3 linked regions of the Oryctolagus cuniculus genome follow. The protein of the gene in region 1 interacts with the protein of each later gene in a pairwise test. Links are inferred from orthologs where the notes say so. Each region holds a gene or a part of one and is shown in the gene's direction. Other genes may lie near its edges.

Region 1 (4,170 bases):
AAAATAGCAAGCATCTGCAAAAACCTGAGAAACCCTGTGAATCATAAAAGTAGAGTTGGAGCAAAAAACCCAAGATTGGATGGAAGAGGCAAAAGCCAAACCACGTAGGCTCTTCAGATTCCAGGTGCAAAGAGTACTGGGTTTTATTCCAACGTCTATAAGCAGCGGTGATAAAGAATTGTGACCTCGGGGCTGGTGCCTGCAGTGCCGCCATCCCACATGGGCGCCAGTTCAAGACCTCCTAGCTGCTCCATTTCCAATCCAGCTCTCTGCTATGGCCTGGGAAGGCACTGGAGGATGGCCCAAGTCCTTGGCCCCCGCACCCAGTGGGAGACCTGGAAGAAGCTCCTAGCACCTGGCTCCTGGCTTCGGATCGGCGCAGCTCTGGCGGTTGCGGCCAATTGGGGAGTGACCCAGCGGATGGAAGACCTCTCTCTCTCTCTGCCTCTCCTCTCTGTGTAACTCTGCCTTTCAAATAAATAAATAAATCTTTTTAAAAAATTGTGATCCCACCTTTGGAGAAAAATCTGGCCTTTTCAGTTTTAGCCCTAGTACCACAAGGACTTTGTACAAAATGGGACGAAGAAGTTTCAGGAATGGGCCTGAGGTCAAACACCCCTGCAGGGACCCCTCTGCCCCTTCCTGCGGGACTGCCGAGCTTATTGGGGGGGGGGGGGGGTAACTACCTTTCACAAGTTACCCGGGCTCTTGGAGAACGCCTGCAATGGTGATTATTTCTTCTGAGTAAAAGGCAGGGTAGCGGAGTAGTCAGGTTCTGAACCACTGCTCGAACCCAGCATCTGTGACCGTGGGCGAGCTGTCTAACGCGAGCCTTACAGCCCTCTTCCGTTAAATGGGAATGACAAATAGTACTTATCTCCAGCAGCTAGGAGGCCAGGGCTTTTAAGAGACCAGGGAAGCACACGGGGTGTGCTCAGAGAACCGCTACGGTCACTGAAAGCCTGCGTCAGAATAAGGAAATCGAGGCAGGGAGAGAAAAGAACGTCCAGTCGCGTGGCACCTAGGGATGAAGTCGGACCTGGAACACAGGCCTGCCTCCCAGCCCAGGCCTCTCCGGAGTCCCCGGACTGACGGAGTGTGGACCGAGGCACGCGGGCGCAGTGAGGCTGGGCCGCACAGGGCTTCTGCACGACACCGGCGAGGTTGACGTGGAGGTTTGCTCAGAACCACCGGCTCCCCAGCCCTCCGGAGTCCGCGGCTCTGAGGACGAGAGCATCCTGGGAGTTGTGTCGACCGATGCATGGTGGGACGTGTAGTCCGCTCCTGTCCCCGCCCTCCCGATGCACCCGCCTTGGAGGCCGCCTTCGCTCCCGGCTCCCGGCAAGCTCCGCGCCAGCGCCGGCTACTAATTGGCTGTGGCTCGGACAGGCGGCTCTGCCGGCAGCGGTTACCCAGGGTTTCCGGTGCGAGGCCAGCGCTGGGGACGCGGTCGCACGTCGCCCGTGAGGTGAGCCCAGCGGCGGGACGACGGACGGTGAGGGCCTGCAGACCTGGACACTTTCGGCCAGCGGGGAAATTGCTCCGATTTCTGCGCGTGGGCGGCGGCGGGGGTGGGGGGAGTCGGGGTGACGCTGTGCGCATGCGCGCGACTGGAGGGCGCGCGGGGCGTGGGTGGCTGCGTGCGCGCGGGCGCGGGAGCCCACGTGGGACCTGGGGCGCGGGGGGAGGGGTCGGAGTCGAGCGTCCCGCCACGTCAGTCTGCGGCCGGGAGCCAATCCCGCGCCGGGCCTGCCGTGAGGGGCCGTGTGGGGCCGGGAAGTGGCTTCGGGGGGAACAAGGAGGCCTCTCTCCTCACCCGCTCCAGGAGCAGCGCCCCGGAAACCCGCCGGGGTGCGCCAGGCCCCCTGACCGGCCGGACAGCGGGAGAACCGTTGGCTCCCTCCGTTGAAGGTGCGCCTGGGCTGTGATTTCTGATCCAGGCTGCGAAGAATTCTGTGGAAAATAGCAACTGTGTTTCTCAAGGATCCAATCCCAACCTAAGGTGGCAGCGCACAATGAAGAATCAAGACAAAAAGAACGGGGCTGCCAAACAGCCCAACCCCAAAAGCAGCCCGGGACAGCCGGAAGCAGGAGCGGAGGGAGCCCAGGGGCGGCCCGGCCGGCCGGCCCCCGCCCGAGAAGCCGAAGGTGCCAGCAGCCAGGCTCCCGGGAGGCCGGAGGGTGTGTGCCAGCTCTGCGTTTCCAGCCGCCTGGGGGAGGAGTTCGCGGCCCGGCCCAGGGAGGAGGCAGCGGGGATGTGGAGCATCCCAGGCTCTGGGGAGGGGAGGCCCTTGCAGGCTTCTCGCAGGTGGCCGGCACCTGAGGCCTCAGCCAGTGACGCCGGGTTCCATCCGAAGGACCTCGGTCACCAGTGTGGGTCACTGCCCTTGGTTCGTTGTCGAGGCATTTCTGGAGCTGCTTGCATAGCAAGCGGGGGCTTTTAGAGGGAGGGGAATGGACGAAACATTGAGTTGCCTGCCTCCTGCGACATGGCAGTCCCAGGTGCCGTACGTACTTATTTTATGCTTGAACAAACTGTATTGGGGAGGTTGCGAGAATTAAGTAAGCTGGGGCAACCTTAAACCTGAACCAGTGAGGCTGGCTGGGCTCACGATCCCAGGTGGTGGTCTAACCTTGCCGTCTGTCGCTGCCTCTCGTCCTCTCCTGCCCTAGGGGCTCAAGCCAAAACTGCTCAGCCTGGGGCGCTCTGTGATGTCTCTGAGGAGCTGAGCCGCCAGTTGGAAGACATACTCAGTACATACTGTGTGGACAACAACCAGGGGGCCCCGGGTGAGGATGGGGTCCAGGGTGAGCCCCCTGAACCTGAAGATGCAGAGAAGTCTCGCGCCTATGTGGCAAGGAATGGGGAGCCGGAGCCGGGCACCCCAGTAGTCAATGGCGAGAAGGAGACCTCCAAGGCAGAGCCGGGCACGGAAGAGATCCGGACGAGCGATGAGGTCGGAGACCGAGACCACCGGAGGCCACAGGAAAAGAAGAAGGCCAAGGGTCTGGGTGAGCAGAGGGCAGCTGCGGGGGGCTGTGGGGAGGGCTTTGCACCTGACATTCCTTGGGCTGTGCAGCAGGGAGTCTCCCTGGTTGATTCAAAGCGCAGGGTATTCCAGCCACAGGCCGGAGTCGTTCAGGTTGGGAGCAAGTGAAATGGAGCCTGATCCTCATGGACAAAGCGGAGAGGTTTGGATGGGCTCTGTACCTGCCCACACCGCTTCGTCCCTGCTGTGTGACCTTGGGCATGTCCTTTCCCCGCCCTGGGCAATAGTTTCCAGTTCTCTACAAGGAGAGGATTGGGCTAGGCCAAAGTTGCAAACGCAAACGTCTGTGTAAGCCAGGACCGAGGGAGGGCCTGCTTTCTGCCCAGGGTGGACTGCAGCCTTGTTCCTTGAGTGCTCTGCACTGTGCCTGCTGCCAGCTCGTCAGTTGAGAGCGTGTTGAACCTCAGACTGGGTGCAGCTGGAATTTTATTTTCTGTTAAGAAAAGCCAGAAATCAAGAGTCTGGTGAAATCTGTAGATTTCAGTAGTAGAAACCAAACAAAACCCATGCATGAGCCGGGTTTGGCCTGTGTGCCAGTGATTGGCATCTCTGTGCTGGTGTCTTCGGGCCTCCGCAGGCTGAGCAGCCTGGAGCCTGGTCAGCAGCCCCTGGGGAAAGGCCCCCCACTGGGCACAGGCAGTGGGGAAGTGGCAGAGACGGTTTTTTGACAGCAGAGTTCGTGTCTGTTAAGAATCTGGGTTAGATGACATTGGACTTGTGTCCTAGTCCCTGTCTCGCCGCCCTTCCCCCGCCCCCAGCACTTGTCACCCTAATTGAAAGAGGAACTTTTTTAAAGAATCATGGGAACACACATTGAAGGTCTCTTCATTATAAGGTTCCCTGTTTGGATGCCTCGTACACAGGGCTATAGATTTCTCACGGAGGCCAGGAGACCTTTTCGGATCCTGCTTCTCTGGGAAGGCCCCACTTTGCATTGAAACAGTAGCCCTGAATTTGCAGGTGGGATACCTTTTATCTGCTGGGAGGCAGACAAGCTTTTCTCCCACCAGTGGTGCCCCCCCCCCCCCGAAGGAATTCCAAGAGGTTTTGGTAAGCATCTGTGGGACACGTGCTGCGCTGGCTCTGTGGACAGCACTGAGGCCGCGGTGATAAGCAGGAT
Region 2 (3,644 bases), on another chromosome or scaffold:
CATTTTCTCCTTGGTTTCCTCCCACTGGAACGTTTGTTCTTAGTAACCAGTAGTCCACCTCTTCACCCACTGGACCTAACTCTGCCCTTTGGAGTAATGACGAGGCAATTTACTACTGCCTTCTTCCTACGTGTCCATCTGTTATCTACAGAGAGCTACACGCCAGGGCAGACCAGGGAGACCCCAAGGGTCTCCACATAAATGGCCCACGTTCCAAGGGTGACTGCTGACATTTTCTTGTTTGTCTGTGTTCTACAACATGAGCTGACCAATCAAAGCGGCAGGACCTGTCTGTGGCTAACATACTTCAGACTGTGCTCACCTTCTGTGTGGTCCCCACGTCGTGTGTGCTCACAGCTGTTCCTCGATGGACTTCCTCATGCTGCACTTGTGCACGCAGTAACTCCAAAGTCCCCTTTATATGCTACAAGGGATTTAAAAAAGGGAAACGAGGAAGTATACGTGAGCGCTGAATCGGTGAAAGCTCATGCATCCACCTTTACCAAGTCAGCATCTGGGCCTCCACTGCATCACCATTTTTTATATTTTGCTGTTTTTAAAAAATGAGCATATATAAGTTTGCAGAGGAGACCATTTGGGATAATTTACTTTAGATGCATCTATCTACAAAAGTGATCAAAATACATTGATCAAGTTCACTTATTAAGTAAAGCTAACCACTATTTCATATCAATAACAGAACTCTTGGGGCCGGCACCGTGACTCACTTGGTTAATCCTCCGCCTACGGCGACAGCATCCCATGTGGGCGCCAGGTTCTGGTCCCGGTTGCTCCTCTTCCAGTCCAGCTCTCTGCTGTGGCCTGGGAGTGCAGTGGAGGATGACCCAAGTGCTTGGGCCCCTGTACCCGCATGGGAGACCAGGAGGAAGCACCTGGCTCCTGGCTTCAGATCAGTGCAACACCAGCTGTGGCAGCCATTTGGGGAGTGAACCAACAGAGGGAAGACCTTTCTCTCTGTCTCTGTCTCTTGCTGTCTATAATTCTGTCAAATAAAAAATAAATAACAGAACTCTTTAATAAAACAGCAATTAAAACAAATCTTTAAAATTTCTTTTAAAATATATTCTAGAATTGAGAAATTTATAAAAATTACATCAGGTCAACTTCTTATAAATCACTCCAAATCAGAGATTATGTGAAGGAGGAAATTGTCTGGTTCCTAGGTTCTCATACGCATTTCATGAGGGAGACTTTATGAAGCCCTGGAGTTGATCTCCACATAGACCATGTAAAATATATCTGCTTATTTCAGATTTCACAGACTCAGTTATCTTTGCATATGCATTAATTTTCAGGTTTGAGTCTGAGAGGGCGATACGCCTAGCGGTGGAGGCAGACCTTCAAGGCCTGGGTAAGGTTTTTGATGACCTAACCGTAAAAAGAACAAATCTGGAGGTTCAAGTTGAAGAACTGAATAACGACTTGGCTCTCCTCAAGAAAGAACATCAGGAGGTGAGAAAATACTCAGGTGTGGCATTGGGAATGATGGGAAGGCTTTACTAATGAGGAGGAGGAGACACAGAAGAAGAAGAGCTGCTGGTAGCGCTGGTGACGATGACACAACAGTGGATGACACAACAGTGGTGTCGGTTCTTATTTCTTGTCACAAGGTTGCTGCCCATTACATGACCTGGAGCAGTATGTGGACACAACCAGCCTTTCCTAAGTTATTACTTCCTTTCTTTCCCACTCATTCCCAGTGAACAAAATAATGAGACTTCTTATGCCTCTTCTGCCCAGCCTGCCGAGAATATGCTTCACATAAAACCCACCAGGATTTTCACTCTCCTAGGAAACCGATGCCCTACGCCGGCACCTGGGCAACACCGTCAATGTGGAGGTGGATGCAACTCCAGGCCTGAACCTTGGCGACATCATGAGTGAAATGAGACAGAAATACGAAATCATGGCCCAGAAGAACCTTCAAGAGGCCAAAGAACAGTTTGAGAGACAGGTACAGCATCGTCCTGAAGTGTGAGCAGGCTGTCCTCCACAGAGACACAACTCGTCCTTCCCTTCTCCTTCCTTCTCTCTTTCTTTTTTTCTTTCTTTCATTGCTTCTTTCCCTCTCTCCCTCTGTCCTGCCTTCCTTTCTCTCTTTCCTTCTCTCCTTACTCACTCATTCTGTTTTTTCCTTCCTGGGTTTTAGACTGAAGCTCTGCAGCAACAAGTCACAGTGGACACTCAGGAGTTAAAAGGAACCGAGGCCCAAGTGACGGAGCTGAAACGCACCTACCAGAGCCTGGAGATAGACCTCCGATCGCAGCTCAGTATGGTAAAGCATACCCACCTTCCGCTTCCCAAACCCCAGTGAGTTGACTAAGTGTCTGTGTTAGGGATTCTGGAGATGCAAAGACCTAGACAAAAGGAGCCATCTACTTGCGGAGCCCGTGGGAAAACAGGCTGAACCACTGACTCTAATCAAAAGACAGAAAGCAACCTAGGAAAGGGCACCATACCGCACAGAAGCAGAGGAAAGAGTAGATCTGGAAAAGCCCACAGTGTGGAGAGCTTTCCATTTGAGATGAACCTTTAAGCTAGAAGTTAGGAGTAGAGATATTACAGGCTAAGCAAATCAGTCTGCCCACGGTAAATTATGCTGTGGTAACCAGCAGCCCTCAGAATCGTAACAGCAACAACACTGCACCCATCACAGGTCGGCTACAGCTCCAATCCATGACTTTCACTCCCCAGGGGCAAAGCTAAAGGAGCAGCCCCGCTCTGGGGCAGGCCAATGCTGTGGCAGAAAGAAAGAGAAATGGCCAAGACATGGGAGAGCCCTGCAAACTTCTCACAAAAGGCATTTCTCAGTTTCACCAGCATTTGCTTAGCCAAAGAAGTCATGTGACCAAGCCTGGTGTTGATGCGCTGAAGAAATCTAATCCAAACCGCCAATCCCAGGGCCAAGCCTGAGGGAGGGGGAGGGAACCTGGCCTGCTGATAGGGTGGGAAAGCAAACACTGAGGATGGTAACACAGTGCACCACACTGAGAACAGTGGGTGCCAAGCCAGAAACAAAGAAAAAAACCAAGAGCTGGTGATCCCAGCTGGCAGGCTGTGGTTGCCTAGCGAGAAAGTGGGAAGCAGAGCTATAAACACACGTGAGTCCCCCAGGCTCCAGCTGCAGAAGTACTCCTCAAAAAGAGTTTAAATTGAGCCACTTCTTACACCAAGTCCCTAAATAACAAAGCCCTCTTTTTCTTGTGCTCACAGAAAGAATCTCTGGAGCACACCCTAGAGGAGACCAAAGCTCGTTACGGTAACCAGCTGGCCACTATTCAGGGCCTGCTAAGCTCTCTGGAGGCCCAGCTGATGCAGGTTCGCAGTGACACAGAACGCCAGAACAATGAATACAACGCCCTTCTCGACATAAAGACTCGTCTTGAGCAGGAAATTGCTACTTACCGCCTGCTTCTGGAAGGAGAAGATGTAAAGTAAGGATCATTAACATGGGCTGTGTGTATCAATGTCTAGATACTGTCCTATTTTACTGTCCTTGCTACCCATGACCCAATGCAATCCCTAACACAAAAGCAATTATACACATACCACTCACAACAACAAAAGTACACCAAAAAGTACACACACACCCAAAACACCAAATATGGCCTTTGTACCTGAGG
Region 3 (3,644 bases), on another chromosome or scaffold:
CATTGGGAATTCTACCCCAGAGAGCCTTTAGGGCTTTGTTGACCTGACTGTGGGGAAGCCCTCCTGCTGGGCTGTCCAGTTCTGGGAGGAGGGGAGAGAGCCGGGTCACCTTGGGAAGCCACCTGCTGCTCTGGCCTCATGGTGCTTTGCCGGCTCGTGTCATGGGGGGCCCGGCCCTGCTTCCCAGGCTCCGGGGTGCTAATTCTGAGGCTCCTCTAACCCTTCCAGTGGGGAAACTTTAGGGCCAACAGATCAGAGCTCAAGACAGCTGGAGAGGAAGATTATTTCCAGTAAAATATGAGGCACTCAAAGCTTCAGCCAGTGAGGCGCCCAGCTAGTTGCTAGGATTCGCGACATCAGAGAGCCTGGACTTCCGGTCTGAGCACAATGGAGGCCCTATATTTGGCCAGGCCAAGCAGAGGCAAGCAGAGGCAAGCAACAAGGAATCTAAGGCCTTCAAGTTTGCCCGGCCATGTCCAGCCTCTGAGAAGAGCTGGTGGTGCAGGGAGAGGGAGGCTAGCGCAGAGGGAAGGGCTTGGGCTGGAGTGAGACAGGGGCAGAGTGCAGAAACACAGCTCCACCCCTCAGCACCGTGAACTCCATCTGGTTATCATCTCTCGCTGAGCCTTGATCTCCACAGCCGGGATGGGGAATTCAAAGTGGCGAACAAGGCCTTACAGCGAGGTGGGGTTCTGGAACGGTAAACGGTAAGAGGGCCTTGGGGGAAAGTGTAGAGAAATCTGAATCCAGTGTGGAGTGGAGTGAACAGTAATTGCCAGCCTTGATTGCTGAGTCATGCCACGTGTCCTGGGGTAATGAGATGTTAACAGTTGGGGAAACCAGATGAGAACTCTCTCAGGGAACTCTACTGCTTTTTTTTCTTTTTTTTTTTTTTAAGATTTATTTTATTTATTTGAAAGATAGAGTTACACAGAGAGAGAAAGACAGAGAGAAAGGTCTTCCATCTACTGTGCCGATCCGAAGCCAGGAGCCAGAATCTTCTTCTGGGTCTCTCACATGGGTGCAGGGGCCCAAGGACTTGGGCCATCTTCTACTGCTTTCCCAGGCCATAGCAGAGAGCTGGATTGGAAGTGGAGCAGCTGGGACTAGAACCAGCGCCCATATAGGATGTCGGTGCTTCAGGCCAGGACTTTAATCCACTGTGCCACAGCGCCGGCCCGGAATTCTACTACCTGATAATTTCTTTTTTCTACTACCTTTGCAACTTTTTAGTAAATCTAAAATTACAAGTTTATTTAAAGAGAAAAATACCGCTGCGAGCATTCGCGACCGCAGCCCGATCTGAGGCTGAAGTCAGACAGGGCTGGTTTCCGTTTTCTTCCTTCCTCCTATGGTAACCTGTGGTAGTCTAAGGACTCTGATTGGAATGGAAAGGAAACGTCAGAAGTGACGTTCAGGGCGGTGACGCTCCCAGCAGGTGAGATAGGCCTTGTGTTCCAAACAGAGCAAATCGGTGTTTGTTAAATATCAGTAGAATTCATGTTCTAGGAGACACAGTTCCTAGTCACGAGGGAACAAAACGTAGGGGTGTTTACATCATGATGACGTGACAAAAATTATCGCTAACTTGGCCTTAGGGTCAGTGGGGCAGTTCAACCTGCTCTGTTCTGAGGCTTGGCGCTGGTGATACGTGAGGCGATGGAAGATCGCTGGAGGACTGGCGTGGCGCAGCAGGTTAAGCCGCTGCCTGCGACACCAGCATCCCACCAGAGCATCGGCTCCAGTCCCGGCTGCTCCGCTTCTGATCCAGCTCCCTGCTAATGCACCTGGGAAAGCAGTGGAAGACGGCCCAAGTGCTTGGGCCTCTGCCACCCATGTGGGAGACCCGGATGGAGTTCCAAGCTCCTGGCTTTGGCCTGGTTCAGCCCCAACCATTGTGGCCATTTGGGGAGTGAAGCAGCAGATGGAAGACCTCTCTCTGTCTCTCTTTCTCTCTGCCTTTCAAATAAATAGCGTATCTTAAAAAACAATCATTTATTAAAAAAGTTAGAAAAAAATTCTTGACCACATCAAGACCAAACAGAGTGTTTGAAATGGTGATAAAGGAAGGAAAAGAAAGATCAGAACAGCTGGGTTGTCTGGCAGAGTTCACAGCTCTCAGCTTTTGGTTCTAAAGGAATCATAAACAACTATAAATACAGAACACCAGAAACCTAATCAAAGTCCCCCAAGCCCCCGGAAGCTCAAGACCCTGCTGTGGGCGGGGCAGATCTGCAGGACGGCCTCCCGGTGCTGTGGCATCTTCTGGGCCTGTCTTCTGAGCCTCTGGGAGTGGTGTCTCTTCTCTGTCTTCAGAAAAAGTGAAGCTGTTCCGACTTGTGCTCTCGGGTTTCTAGGCAGGAAAACGGGGTGTGGGGGGGGGTCCTCACCCGTGCTTCCCCCACCCCGAGGCACTCACCTCGCTCTGCTTGTCCTGTGCAGAAGAACTGCAGCAGTTGCAGGAGCGCTACCACTTCCTGAACGAGGAGTACCGGGCCCTGCAGGAGAGCAACAGCAGCCTCACGGGGCAGCTCGCGGATCTCGAGAGCGAGAGGTACAGCCGGGCGGCTGGAGGGGCGGGTGGGTGGGGCTTGGCAAGACTCTGCCTCGGGCATCCCTGAAGGCAGACACCGGGGGCACCAGTGTTCCTCTGATCCTGGAGAGCTGATCCTCTCCCTGATAGACCGCCTGGAGGCAGGCACAGGAACCCAGCCTGATGATCTCAGAACCAGAGCTGAATGGCTTCTGAAATTTAGCTTTCTTGGGGCCGGCGTTGTGGCGTGGCAGGTAAAGCTGCTGCCCACAACACTGGCATCCCATGTGGGCGCCGGTTTGTGTCCCGGCTGCTCCACTTCCAATCCAGCTCCCTGCTAATGGCCTGGGGAAAGCAGCAGAAGATGGCTCAAGTGTTTGGGCCCCTGCCACCCATGTGGGAGACCCAGACGAAGCTCCTGGCTTCAGCCTGGCCCAACACTGGCCATTGCAGCCATCTGGGGAGTAAACCAGTGATGGAAGACCTCTCTCTCTGTGACTCTGACACTTTCAAGCTAAATAAATAAATCTTAAGATTTAGTTTTCTTCCACTGTAGCTATCGGGGTCTGGTTTGCTCTGCCCGAGAGTAGGTTGAGAAGACATTCCTACACTGTCCATGCAGACTTGATTAGGTCTAATGGCTTAGCGCAGCCAGACTGGAGCTGGCTTGCCACCAGGCCCAGCCTTGAAACCAACTGGACTGGTACTCGTAGGGCCTCCCAGGGCCCACACGCCTCTGCAGAAGAGATCCTGGCGACTGTCCTCTTCTCCACGTGCTTATCTGGGAGGTGCATCGCGGCAGAAGGCCCCGCCTCTCTTCGGTATAATCTGAAGGCATAAGGATGGAGGCCGCTTGGCTAGTGGTCTAGCCAGGTTCGCTAGTGACAGAGTTCCTTCCAACGGGGCTTTGGGGTTCTGGGTTACAGGACACGGAGAGCGACGGAGAGGTGGCTGGAGTCCCAAACACTGAAGAGCATGACATCGACCGAGTCTCAGACTTTCGAGGCGGATTTCCCGGAGCCCGACCCTGGAATGCAGCTGTTGCGGCAGCAGCTGCTGGGGGCTGAGGAGCAGATGCTGAGCATGAAGACCAAGGTACGCGCGCACCGCG

Evidence for each region.
Region 2: the proteins of TXLNA (region 1) and KRT20 interact in binary tests that used the Homo sapiens proteins (3 or more experiments, as listed by UniProt). The two-hybrid records come from large-scale screens. The link is inferred for Oryctolagus cuniculus from reciprocal best matches to the Homo sapiens genes TXLNA and KRT20.
Region 3: the proteins of TXLNA (region 1) and CCDC136 interact in binary tests that used the Homo sapiens proteins (3 or more experiments, as listed by UniProt). The two-hybrid records come from large-scale screens. The link is inferred for Oryctolagus cuniculus from reciprocal best matches to the Homo sapiens genes TXLNA and CCDC136.

Annotation. Positions count from the first base shown.
Region 1 is NC_091438.1:140,273,127-140,277,296, reverse strand, and holds the start of TXLNA (alpha-taxilin), read left to right. Parts: upstream 1-1,300; 5' UTR 1,301-1,468; exon of another isoform or gene 1,469-1,495; intron 1,496-1,610; exon of another isoform or gene 1,611-1,825; 5' UTR 1,826-2,015; coding exon 2,016-2,181; intron 2,182-2,673; coding exon 2,674-3,012; intron 3,013-4,170. UniProt on the Homo sapiens protein: May be involved in intracellular vesicle traffic and potentially in calcium-dependent exocytosis in neuroendocrine cells.
Region 2 is NC_091448.1:21,698,103-21,701,746, forward strand, and holds part of KRT20 (keratin, type I cytoskeletal 20), read left to right. Parts: exon of another isoform or gene 1-424; intron 425-728; exon of another isoform or gene 729-1,003; intron 1,004-1,316; coding exon 1,317-1,473; intron 1,474-1,813; coding exon 1,814-1,975; intron 1,976-2,170; coding exon 2,171-2,296; intron 2,297-3,234; coding exon 3,235-3,455; intron 3,456-3,644. UniProt on the Homo sapiens protein: Plays a significant role in maintaining keratin filament organization in intestinal epithelia. When phosphorylated, plays a role in the secretion of mucin in the small intestine.
Region 3 is NC_091434.1:164,999,774-165,003,417, forward strand, and holds part of CCDC136 (coiled-coil domain-containing protein 136), read left to right. Parts: intron 1-2,442; coding exon 2,443-2,554; intron 2,555-3,459; coding exon 3,460-3,628; intron 3,629-3,644. UniProt on the Homo sapiens protein: May play a role in acrosome formation in spermatogenesis and in fertilization.